Cricetulus griseus: one gene and its partners. The protein of the gene in region 3 interacts with the protein of the main gene of each other region in a biochemical or structural test. Links are inferred from orthologs where the notes say so. Each region holds a gene or a part of one and is shown on either strand. Other genes may lie near its edges.

The links.
Region 1: the proteins of Peli1 (region 3) and Ube2v1 form a complex in vitro, tested with the Homo sapiens proteins (3 studies listed by BioGRID). The link is inferred for Cricetulus griseus from reciprocal best matches to the Homo sapiens genes PELI1 and UBE2V1.
Region 2: of the proteins of Peli1 (region 3) and Irak4, one has a biochemical effect on the other in vitro, tested with the Homo sapiens proteins (4 studies listed by BioGRID and IntAct). The link is inferred for Cricetulus griseus from reciprocal best matches to the Homo sapiens genes PELI1 and IRAK4.

Annotation. Positions count from the first base shown.
Region 1 is NC_048599.1:11,805,016-11,809,236, reverse strand, and holds the end of Ube2v1 (ubiquitin-conjugating enzyme E2 variant 1), read right to left. Parts: intron 3,644-4,221; coding exon 3,518-3,643; intron 2,203-3,517; coding exon 2,056-2,202; 3' UTR 509-2,055; downstream 1-508. UniProt on the Homo sapiens protein: Has no ubiquitin ligase activity on its own. The UBE2V1-UBE2N heterodimer catalyzes the synthesis of non-canonical poly-ubiquitin chains that are linked through Lys-63.
Region 2 is NC_048595.1:391,037,240-391,040,857, forward strand, and holds part of Irak4 (interleukin-1 receptor-associated kinase 4), read left to right. Parts: intron 1-1,424; coding exon 1,425-1,570; intron 1,571-3,273; coding exon 3,274-3,465; intron 3,466-3,618.
Region 3 is NW_023276807.1:85,433,267-85,437,621, reverse strand, and holds the start of Peli1 (E3 ubiquitin-protein ligase pellino homolog 1), read left to right. Parts: upstream 1-1,534; 5' UTR 1,535-1,910; intron 1,911-2,017; exon of another isoform or gene 2,018-4,355. UniProt on the Homo sapiens protein: E3 ubiquitin ligase catalyzing the covalent attachment of ubiquitin moieties onto substrate proteins. Involved in the TLR and IL-1 signaling pathways via interaction with the complex containing IRAK kinases and TRAF6.

The DNA of each region.
Region 1 (4,221 bases), on a different chromosome or scaffold from region 3:
ATGCCTTTAATCCCAGCACTTGAGGCAGAGGCAGGCATATTTGAGAGCTCAAACCTGGCCTGGTCTACAGGGTGGGTTTGGAGGCAGCCAGAGCTACATGATAGAGAACCTGTCTCAAAAACAAACAAACAAAACCCCGTATCTTTTGAGACAGGACAACAAACTGGTGCACAGGCCAACCCAGGCCACTGCTTGCTTCTGACCAGTCTCTCATATGAAGGGCAAACCTCACCTACAGACGCCCCTGTGCGCCTGGCAGGGAATGCTGATGGGCACCAGCAGGCAACATGTTCCTCTGCCTGGCTTTGCACCTCACCAAGTATTGGGGACCTGTCCCTTTTCCTACTTCAAGCACAGTGATGAAGAGCCTGGCCTTGGCTGGAACACCCTGAATGTTCTCACAGAAGGGTCAAGCCCTGCTTTTGGACAAGATGCAGTCTCAGAGCATCTAAGGCATTTGACCCTCTTGCGGAATAAGCCTGGCGGAAAAAGGGCACAGCCGGCTCTGTATCAGTGCACACTTGTTTATTATAGTAAAATCAGGCGATGACTGACAGCACACTGCTTATGGAAGGACACTGTTAAACTTGACTTACACGATGCCTAGCCCAGACAACCACAGTATGCCCCACAAAGATCAATGGCCACATCGGCCACTTTTTAGACCTGATAGTTTTGCTACTTCAACAGGTGGGTTCACATATGCTTAATGACCTCCCCTCTCAAAAAAAAAAAAAAAAAAAAAAAAACAACAAAAAAACAAAAACAAAACCCCAAAAAACAAAAAAACCCAAACCCCAAAACCCTTGCAACACAACAAATTGCCTTTATTTCAGTATGCATCCACATTTCAACAATTAGTGGTCCTGAACAGAGTGGGGAACGTGGCAATGAGGCAGGAGGCCAGGCCCACCCATCTGAAAACTCATGACACAGAGCTCCTCCAGGTCCCTGCCGAGGGTCTGAGGAGCAGCAAGACTGAAACCTGAGTCCGCAGGGTTAGGGCCTCTGTTCCAGCTGTCAGGTTCCACGTCAGACCTGATGGGTGGACACGGAGTCCTGTCCAAACCACTTCAGTGTGTAAAAGCAAAGCGATTATGAGAAAAGGAACCGACTCAGTACCCTGTGCGCTGAGGACTCTCCGCATGGCCTTTCTCTAGGCGCAGCCACCAAGGACCCTGAGCGCTGGCAGGTTTGTGGTCCCTTGACTGACTGCTCTGTTCACCTCGAGACCTGAGCTCAAAGTGCATCGGCTGATGGTGGCAGCAGGGCCGAGGACCCGGAACCCCCTTCCCAGGCTGGTGGCAAGTGAGCGTGTGGCCAAGAGCTAAGTGAGAAGACCAGGCTCTTCCAACCTCATCTCACGACTCTGGCCACAGCAAGTGTGGGGTGGTGTGGGCAACGAGGGAATTGAGAAGGAGGGGGAGAGCAGCACCCCTTGATAAAGGTGGGGAGACGGGAAGCCCTGAAATCCTCACCCACGGCCAATTTCAGAGGGAGGGGAGGGTTACAATCTAAGCTTTGGCCAAGGGCAGGAGTGGGGGGGGCGGCAATGGCTTGGATGGGGCATCACTTAAGACTTAAGAAATCAGGGGTGAAGCCAAAGCACCCCCAAGCCCAGCAGTAGTCCCACGGCTGCTACCTGAAGCCTTCCCATCTATTCTAAGGGCCACCACACAGCTGTGGCAGGAGGGCGGGGCGGGCAAAGGCAGACCCAGGCCATGTGTGAGCAGCAAGTGATTGTGTGACAATGTGTCTGTTCACAGTTGCATTAGCTGTGCCCACCGCTCCCAAAGGAAACTGATTTCAACACACCTTCTTGATCCCAGAAGTTCAACTAAGCAGCCAGCGGTTACACTCGACAGATGTTACACAGCACAACTTAGGTATTTCAAATGGACAAGAAATTAGTATCAGAACAGTGTCTCAGGATGAAGTCCGAGTGGAGCCTCCTCTCCAGTACTTTGAGGTCTACAAGATGAATCTAGAAAATTCACTACTGTGGAAAATGAAGACTTAGGTTGGATTGGGGAGGGGAGGCCGGGGCCTTGGTGACTAATTGCTGTAACACTGTCCTTCTGGCGGCTGTGGCAGCTTCATGTTCTCTTTGGCCATCATCAAGCGCCGAAGCTCCTGCAGGATGACTTTGATGCTGTGGGAATTCTGCCACTTTGCCAGCACCGCCGTGGCCCTGGGATCCACCTGCAAAGAGGCAAACACCCAGATTACCCCATAGCAAAGCCTTCCCCAACGCTGACATGCTCAGCCCACAGAGCCCCATCAACACAGAGGCCATGCCAAGCCACCCTCCCTGCCAGCATGGAAGAACCAACACATGGGGAGACCTAACCTGGCCAAACTCGGACCATCCTGATGGACCAGCACCTGGGCGACCACGTCCTGTCTTTTTCCACTATACACCCAGGGTGGAGCTGATAAAGATGGGAGTGGCAGCAAGAGCAGCCATGGCGCCCTGGTCTCTTGGGTTATCAAGGAGTTGATGGCTCTGACACAGTTCATTTCTATTTCTCTGGCCCATCTTCTGAAGACTTCAAAGACAGAGGTTGGGTACGGTGCCCCAAGAATCCGGCAAGCAACCTTCGGATTCAGGATCTATGGCTGGGGTATGGCTCCATGGCAGATCTGCCTAGCCTGTATGAGGCCTTGAGCTCTAGTCTACAACAGTGCTGCAGCAGCGACTTCTCAGGGAAAGGCCTGGCAGTTCCATCAAGGAAGCAGAAAATGTGTGTGGGTCGGACAGTGGGACAGGGCTGCCACAGTGCTCAGGACCACAAGGGTTTCAGATTTTGGAAGCTGTGCAGACCTGAGCAGCTGGGCAACTTCCGCATGGTGAGCTCCACCCTCAAGTGCTTCAGTGTCCTGGTCGGCAGTCTGAGACTTGGGAGCGCTTTGGATTAGAGAGTCTGTTGTCAAAATGTGTTTAAAAAGTAAGGTCCCAGTGAGTCACTGAGGAGGCTGACGGGAGGGCTGCCATGGGTAGAGGCCAGCCTGGGCTACATAGGGAGTTCCAAGGCCAGACATGGCCACAGAACAGGGTTCTCTCAAAAAAATAAGCAAATGGGCTGGAGAGATGGCTCAGCAGTTGAGAGCACTGGCTGCTCTTCCAGACGATAGGGGTTCAATTCCCAGCACCCACATGGCAGCTCACAACGACATACATGTAGGCAAAACTCATGCTCATAAAGCAAATAAACAAAGAAACAAATAGCATTAAAGGTGTCACATGGCAGCGGTCACGGCACATGTGAGGATGTGGGGAGGGCCATGTCCCTGAAGCTCCACCTCACGATGTCACAAGCACTTAACACTCTTATCTCAGTGACAGTACAGGGCTCCCAGAGTGAGCTCAGAGGAGCGACAAGACACAATGCAAGTAGCCCTGCCCCAATGCTACAGACACACTGTGATAACCTGTAGAGGATAAGCCAGCAGCGTATCTCGGGCCACCGCCACACTCCCAAATTCAGCAGGGCATCTTGGGCAGGACGGGACTTACCACTCCATTTGAACTACTCACGCCGCTCATATTGACTTTTGTTACAAATCTTACAGATGGGGGTGCTTCTGGGTATTTAGGCCCACATTCTATTTTAAGGCTGTATATTCGGTTTTCATAAATTGTCTGGAAAAAAAAAAGGTACAGATATGTCAGTTACAAAGAGCTAAGAGAAGTACAAGTGCCGAGACACTGTTGCCCTGGGACCACAGTGTGATACGCCTGTGTGGACAGGGGGGAAGAGCACAGGCCCTCCGAGGGCCCTGGTCTTGGAGAAATAAGCAAAAGACAGGACAAAGAAGCTAGGGATGCTTGGTTAAAAGTGTCAACAAGTCCGACCCAAGCCACTTCTGTCGTGTGCCACCTGCCCTTAGAAGCCACCAGCATCAAGTGAGCGAAGGAGGCCACGCAGCTGATACGCCAGACCTCCAGCCATAGCATCAACCCTGAAAAACCACCGGTGGCTGGGCCCGGTGGTGCACACCTGTAGCCCCAAGAGTGCAAGGTGATCTGTAACTACATAGTGACCTTGAAGCCTATCTGTTGAGGGCTGTGGAGATGGTGCACTGGGTAAAGGTGCCCGTCATGCAAGCCTGTCAGGGTGAAAGAAGGGAAAAGAGTACTCTCTACCCATCCAGATAAAAGCCAATCATACAACCATGAAACACAGGCAAGCCCAATGCCCAAACCAGCACCACTGATTG
Region 2 (3,618 bases), on a different chromosome or scaffold from region 3:
CATGAGCCTCATGGGGCTCAAACATAAACGTTTTGTCCACAAATTTTGTATGCATTAAGAAAGAGAAAACCAACTGTTGCTAGTGACAGGGTCTTGCATAGCCAAGGCTACCAGCTGACCAATTGGTAAATCTAGATGGAGGGCAAGTTGTTGCTCACTGTGTTATTCTTTCAAAGTTTTTGTTAAGTTTGAAATTTTTCCAAATATAACCCTGGGAGGAAAAATCAGAATAAGCTGTTTGTGTTAAGTTTACAGTGTTACTTTCTAATTTTTAATTTTAAAGAAATGAGATGAAAAATAAAGATGTTTTCCGTTCTATTTAATTAAATAAAGTTGAGATCAAAGTGTAGGCACATTCTGCTTCATGAGGCAGGCTTGTTCATTTTAAAGTCTACAGCTAGAAGACTGACTAAGTCATGTAAAGTGCATGTAAGACACTGCAATATAGCTAAGTGGTTTAAAAGTGTATGCTTTGTTCGAGAGAGTTCAGAATTTGGATCTAAACCTGGGTAACATTTTGAGTGTGCTGTGTGGCTCACAACTGGCTACTCCACCCATCCCAGTCTAGCACTCTCATGGTAACATTCTCAGCTGTCTCTCTAGCGATATCCTGTAGCTCTCTGAGGTGGGTTTGACTTGTATATGTGTTTGTGTGTTTGTGTTAACTGTGCGTGTATGATAAGTGTCCATGTTTGTGGCGGTCAGAGGTCAGCATGGGGTGCCTTGCTCACTCTCGATCCATCTTGTTTTTTGAGACACGGTATCTCACAGAGACTGGAACTTACAAATTCATCTAGACTAACTAACCAGTGGGCATCAGGAATACAGCCATCACTGCCTGTGCAGCCCAATATTAGAGAAGGCGCTCTGCACTGGCTGTTCTTCGCCTGGATGCTGGGGAATCTGAACTCGGGTCCTTAGCCTTCATACTGGCAACGACAAGCACTTTACCAACTGGGATATCTCCCCACCCCAAAAGTTAGCTTACAATTTTTTAGCTCTTTATTTTATTCCATGTGTATGCATTGCTTTGTCTACATGTATGTATTTGCACCACATGCATACCCATACCTGTGGAGGGCAGAAGATGGTTTTATATCCCCTGGAACTGGAAATGCAGGTAGTTGGGAGCTGCCCTGAGGATGCCCTGGGAAGCAAACCCTGGTCCTCTGTAAGGGCAACAGTTTTCTCAACCACTGAGCATCCCTCCAGCCTCAGTTGTTAACCTGAATTCTCTGGCTCCTTTTCTGCTGAGTGTCATTCTCCTAGATGGGGTACTTCTGGTTCTCTCATACTCCGGTTCCTTTACTGTCTTCCGGAGGGTCAGTGATCCGGACAGGAGGGGACTCGGGAGTGGTGACAAGATCAGTGTCTATCTTCAGATGAACTCTCATTGTGTACTAGTTTTGTCTTTTGTTTTTCAGGAGATTTGAAGCCTTACTCCAAACTGGGAAAAGCCCCACGTGTGAGCTGCTGTTCGACTGGGGCACCACAAACTGCACAGTTGGTGACCTTGTGGATCTTCTGATCCAGATTGAGCTTTTCGCCCCTGCTACTCTCCTGCTGCCAGGTAAACTGGGTGTGGCCAGAGTGCCAGCCACTGTCTGAAGTGATGAATGGCAGGAATCGAAGTTTTATTTCTCTGTTTACTCTTCTATGGAATGAACACACCTGACACTTGGGTCCCCTTCATTCTTTGAGCTCTCCCTTAGCCTTTAACCACTCTAGATGCTCTGGACTGTGCTGCTAAAGTGATGAAGTCTAAACCTCACAAAACCGGATCGTTTTGTGCCAGGAGGGTTTATTTAAAGGATGAAGAATGCATCCTACAAGAATTTATTCTTTTGAGCCATGTCTCTCTAGACCCCCATTCGGCTTCACCTTGACTGGACTTTCATCAGGGCTTCCTTGCATTGCATTCCCCTGTGTTACTGTTGCTCTGCCCTTGTCTTTGCCCCACTCCTTTTCTCCCTTGGATGCACTCGGGGATCTTGACCTTTACTGTGTAAAGAATCTCTTAGAGTTCTTGTTGAACATGTAGATTCCTGGACTCCATGCCACACCTTCTTTGGGTGGTGTTTTATTTGGTTGGTTGGTTGGTTGGTTTGGGTTTGGGTTTTTTGAGACATGGTTTCTCTGTGTAGCGCTGGCTGTCCTGGAATGCATTTTGTAGACCAGGCTGTCCTCGAACTCACAGAGATCTGCCTGCCTCTCCCTCTCAAGGGCTGGGACCACCACCCAGCACCACATCTTAATAGGACCCATAGCACTGAGTTCAATGACTAATGTTTTTGGTCCTTTCCTCCCCACCCACTGCCATTTGTGTGTGTGTATGTGTGTTTGTGTATGTGTAGTTGTTTATCAGACAGAATCTCAGGTAGCCCAAACTGACCTTGAATTTACTATGTAGTCAAGGCCAAAGTTGAACTTGATTCTCTTGCCTCCACCTTCAACGGGATTACAGGTGGGCACCACCATGCCCACTAGTTCTCTATTCTTAAATAAGTATAGTATTTCCTAATGACTCTGAACCACTTTTTTTTTTTTTTTTTTTTTTTTTGGTTTTTCAAGACAGGGTTTCTCTTTGGAGCCTATCCTGGCACTCGCTCTGGAGACCAGGCTGGCCTCAAACTCACAGAGATCCGCCTGCCTCTGCCTCCCGAGTGCTGGGATTAAAGGTGTGCACCACCAAAGCCCAGCTCTGAACTACTTTTGTGAACACTATCACTCTGTCTAGTCATCTTTATCACAAGGCACAGCATTGTACTGGGAATCTTCCTGTGTTTGGTGAGGATGTAGGGCCAGCATCTAGGAGCTGTACATGTTCTGGGTTGTCTTAGTTAGGGATTCTGTTGCTATGAAGAGACACCATGACCACAGCAACTCTTATAAAGAAAAACATTAGGTTTACATTAGGTTTAGTCCGTTATTTTCATGGTGGGAAGCATGGCAGCACAGGAGGCAGACATGGTGCTGGAGAGGTAGTTGCAAGTTCTACAGACTGATTGTCAGGCAGGAGGGGAGAGAGAGAGAGAGAGAGAGAGAGAGAGAGAGAGAGAGAGAGAGAGAGAGAGAGAGAGAGAGAGAGAGCAAGAGCTCCTGAGCCTGGGCCTGGCTTAAGCATCTGAGGCCTTAAGACCCACTCCCAGTGACATGCTTCCTCCAACAAGGCCACACCTCCTAATAGTTCCTGATGGTACTATGGGGTTCGTTTTCATTGAAACCACCACAGACTTTTTCTTACACAGAGACTAATTTTGTCTTCTTGTTCAGCAGATGCTGTTCCCAAAACTGTCAGCAGTATACCTTCTAGAGAAGCTGCAACGGTGGCACAGACACCTGGGCCCTGCCATGAAAAAGTCAGGACATTGGTAACGCCTATGCCAAGGGTAGAACAAAGCTATAGGCCACCTGACTCCTCAAGCCCAAACAATGAAAACTTAGAAATCAGTGATACTGATACTCGTAAGTAGCATTGCCTGTGCTTTCTTTCCCACTGGTGGATTTGCCATTATGGTGATTTAAAGAAAACCTCTCCCCATTTGTCCTGTGGTCAGAGGCACATTAACGGTATCCTTAGACGTGTGTTTTCCTTTGTATTTATTAAGTACCATCGTC
Region 3 (4,355 bases):
CCGTGAGTCATCCCCACATTCAAATGATCTGTGAAGCATTTCCTGACCCTGCCCAAGTCTGAGGTAGTATGCATTTTCCTATGACAGCATAGCTCACACTGAGTCCATTATCTCTCTTCCTTGGCAGAGTAAGGACTTTGAATACAAAGTATGCTTCTTTTATATTTTTATAGCTCTATTTTTGAGGATAAATGAAGTGCCTGGCACATAGTATATATGTTCACTTGTTTTTTAAATATTTTATTATATACATTATATATTTTAAAATATTTTGAATATAGGTGTTTTGCCTGCATATATGTCTATGTGCTGATGATGCCAGGAGATGGCACTGGATTCCCTAGAGCTGAAGTTACAGATGGTTGTGAGTCACCAAGTGTGTGCTGGGAATTGAACCCAGCTCCTTTGGAAGAGTAGCTAGTGCTCTTCACTGCTGAGCCATTCTCCAGGCCCTGTGCACTTGTTTCTTGAATGAGCAAAAATTATGTGGTCTGTGGGCATCACAGCTTTCTGATCTTGAGACCATTTGAAAAACTCGAGTTTCTCTTCTTAAAATATATGCCTGATTCTTGGCCGTTAACCTTTTCCCTCCAGATTGTAGGGCTCTAGGTAGTCTATTGAGAGAAATTGAGGCAGGTGACCTCTAAGTCTTCTGGAGAGCCAGACATTGTCCTGGATGTCTCCACACTTGTCACCACCACCACATATACATACCTGGGTAACTAGAATGGGTGTAGACTTAGCTGAGTAGCCCAACAACATACCCAAACCATGGTTCAGGGTTCTCATTACTAAATGAAAATCAGCTAATATGTACACTGAACAGCTTTGAACTGTCTACTTATCTTCTGAACTTATATTTTGGAATTTGGATGTCTGAAGAATAACAGATTTTTAAGATGTGCAAATTGCATTACAGTGATCAAACGGTGTTATTAGTGCTGAACTTTACCTTTGCCTGTACTAAAGTTAGATGTTACTAACTGTGCAAAGAAATTATGGGATTTTGTTAATGGTCATGCTCCTAACAGTTTTATAACTTAATTGTTAAAATGCTAAGAACAACTAGATTTAGTGTCTTGGATAATTCACTTGAAGGAGGCAAAGGAAAGGGATATTTATGATTTGTAGAAGAAATTTGAGCAGCCAGGGAGACTGCCATGTTGGGAGGAAGTGAGATTTCACTGGGCACTTGAAAGTGGTAAGGCTAGTTGTTGGGGGTGGGGTGAAGCAGAAGAGACTGGCTATGGGCCGGAACCCAAAGGCACCAAAGACAAGACCAGCCTTGTTTAGTCAACTACAGTACTGAACCTTCAGGTTTAGTGAATCAGTGACCATGGCAACAGTTCCCGCCCCCAATCGCTCTGCGCTACGCAGGCGCAGAGCGACCAGTAGGCGCCTCCACAATAGATGCTTTTTCTCTCAAAGAACTACAGTTCCCGAGAGCCCCCTCGACACCGCCTTCTGATGTGGCCCTGCCCCGTCCCCTTAGGCCCCGCCCTCCCGCTAGTCTCCTCCCCTCCCTCCCAGTGTGTGTCAGTGACCCAAAGGCGGTTCGAGGCGGAGGGACCATCGGGGGCGCCGCCGCCGCCTCCTCTCCAGCGCCAGCACCAGCAACAGCAACAGCAGCAGGAGCAGCGGCTGCAGCGGCCGTTCGGCGCCACCGGATTTGCCTGCAGCCGGGGGAGGCTCACCACAAAGCGGGCCCGCGCCTCTCTCCGCTCCGCGCTCCTCGGCGCACGGCTCCGCGTTCCATTCGGCCTCGCGGGGCTCGGCGGCTGGCGGGAAGGCGGCGGGCTCCGCGGGTGCCTGCGTTCCACCGGTGCTCTCGCTGCCCCCGCGCCCCGGGTGTCCGCGCTCCGGGCCCTCGCGGCGGCCGAGCTGGCGTTCCGGACTCCAGCAGTCGTCCGGTGAGTGCGGCTCCGGGAAGGGGGCGCGGGGGCCGGCGGCGCGGAACTTCCTCCGAGGCTGTGCCGGTGGCGGCGCGGCTATGCGCGCGCCCGCCTGCTCTCGGGGAGGCGGCGGGGAGCGGAGTTTGCGGCGCCGCATCCCGCGCTGTGGGAGGAAGCTTCTTTGTGAGGAGCTGCCCGGAACGCCCTCCCCCACGGCTGGAGCGGGCGCGCGGCGGCTGCGAGCCCCGGCCCGGCTGGCTGCCCGGTTCTCGGTCCCGCGGCCGGGTTGCAGGCAGGCCAAGTGGAAGGGGAACAAAGGGGCGGTGGGCTTTTCTTTTGTTTGTGTGACTCTGGTAACTTCTCTGCTTCCTTACATAACGCAGACTTCCAAGTTAGTCATTCTTTTTATTGTTATGATTATTGTCATCATCTCTGCGTGCCTCTCACATTTCCTTTCATCTTCGGATCTCAGAGCATTTTAAAAATACTAATTAATTTCACCTCCCGGGCCCTTGCCAAGCCCGTTTCCGTAAGTGGGTAAACTGAGGTCCAGAAAGCCCTCAAATTGATGGATACGCTTGATGTACCGCCCCTGGTGTCTGAGGCTCGGAAAGCGTTTATGAGTAATAACTCATTCTCCAAATGCCCTGTGGAAAAGTTAAAGATGCTCATTTTACTTACAGGCTAAACGAAGTCTGAAAGAAGCCTGGGTAATTGTTAGGTAGTTGAGACAATAATTCTTTTAAAATAGTGTTTGAATCTTAAAACCTCAAAGGACTTTCTGGAAAATGTTCCGAGTGGTGAAGATAGTGTAAGTCATAAACTCACTTCGCCATCTATTATGTTTATATGTGCAAGTCTCTTAACGAAGTCAGACAGCAATGATGAGGGGAGGGGTAGTTTCTAGTTAACCTACATTTAAGATGTTTAGTCACTAAACAACGATTTGCTCTCGTGGTTTGAGCCCCGGCACATCCCATCAACAAATGTTACTGAGCATCTCATCCATAGGACGCTCAATTATACCCAGACTTGAAGCTTTTGTGTATCAATAAGTTGTCTGTTTTGGTTCAGAGGCCCTTTAACTTTCTCTTACTCAGTGGAATGTGACTTTGTCTTCGGAGCGGGTGATCTTTTGTGCCAGACAAGACAATGTCTTTTCTCCACATGGACGAGTTTGCCTAGTAGTGTGAATTTAAAGTTTTTGAATTATAGAAAGGGTGCAGTTCCTCAAATTCTTCGGTTTCGGTTTATGATACGCTTTTGCAGATAACCGAAAATATTTTCTCAGAATACTCAGATACGCATGCTTGACACCTCCTGAATGTCTGAATACAGCATATCAATTATTTTTTGCTTGCTTGTTTTCTTTTCACATCTGTAGTAAATTCTTAGAGGGCAATTAATCCCAGTACTTTTTAAAATTTTTGGTACCAAATAGAAGGTTTGAAAAGTTTAAATCAAGTGTTACTTCTACAAGTTCTTTTCCTAAGATGTATGAGATTCAGAACTGTAATGATTCAGAACTGTAATAGGAATATTTTTACTTAAATCATTTAATTTTGTAATGTATAGCTGCCCCCGGATTTTACATCTGGTGGGTGTGTCAGAAAATGAAAGTGAGACTTTATTTTCTTCCCTGTTCTGCAACGTATCCCTTTTCTGAAGTTTGTTGACAGGTCATAGGTTTAATGCTTTGAAAATGGTATGGTTAAGTGTGTGGAAGAGTGTATGTTATGTGCCTCACCTAATAAATTTCAGTCTTTTAAAGAGGAAACTTAGCACTCAGATTTTTAGTGTAATGAAAGTGTAGCTCTGTTTCTTGACTGGAAAACAGTAAACTGGAAATCTGCCTTAGTTGCATATTGGGTTATTTATGTGCATCTTAAAATTGGCATTTAAGTACCCTCATGTTGGACTTTTTTCCATGCTACTTACCAACCAGATTTACCAGGGCCATTTGTACTTGTAGGAAACTATTAACAGTGCCTTTGCTCAGTCCAATTCCAGTAGTCCAGAGGAGGAAGTGAGTTTCAGCTTTGCCTGTTTCCTGAGCTCTTTGGGACCCTTTAAAACAAATGGCTGAGAAATAGGGCAGGAAATGGTGCTACTGAGGCAAGTTTCAGGGGGAAGCCTGGAATGTTTCCATTTACCTTAGTTCCGGCTTCCTTTCCCTTTCAGAATGTCAGTTGTATTTTGAGTCCCTTGATTTAGAATGTGCTCCATCATGGTTGGACAGTGAATGGGTGTAAGGGCTAGAGTTCTGCTTTGTGAACAGTTTTTCAGATAGAAGCTTCTGTAGGTGATAGATGTTTTAAGTCAACACTTAGAATTGGAAACTGGCCAGCATGTGAGCATCTATATACATTTTCCCATGGAACAATAATATAGGCCTATCACTTAGTCAGACTTGCAGAGGTCACACACACACACACACAACCACACACACACACACAAAAAAAA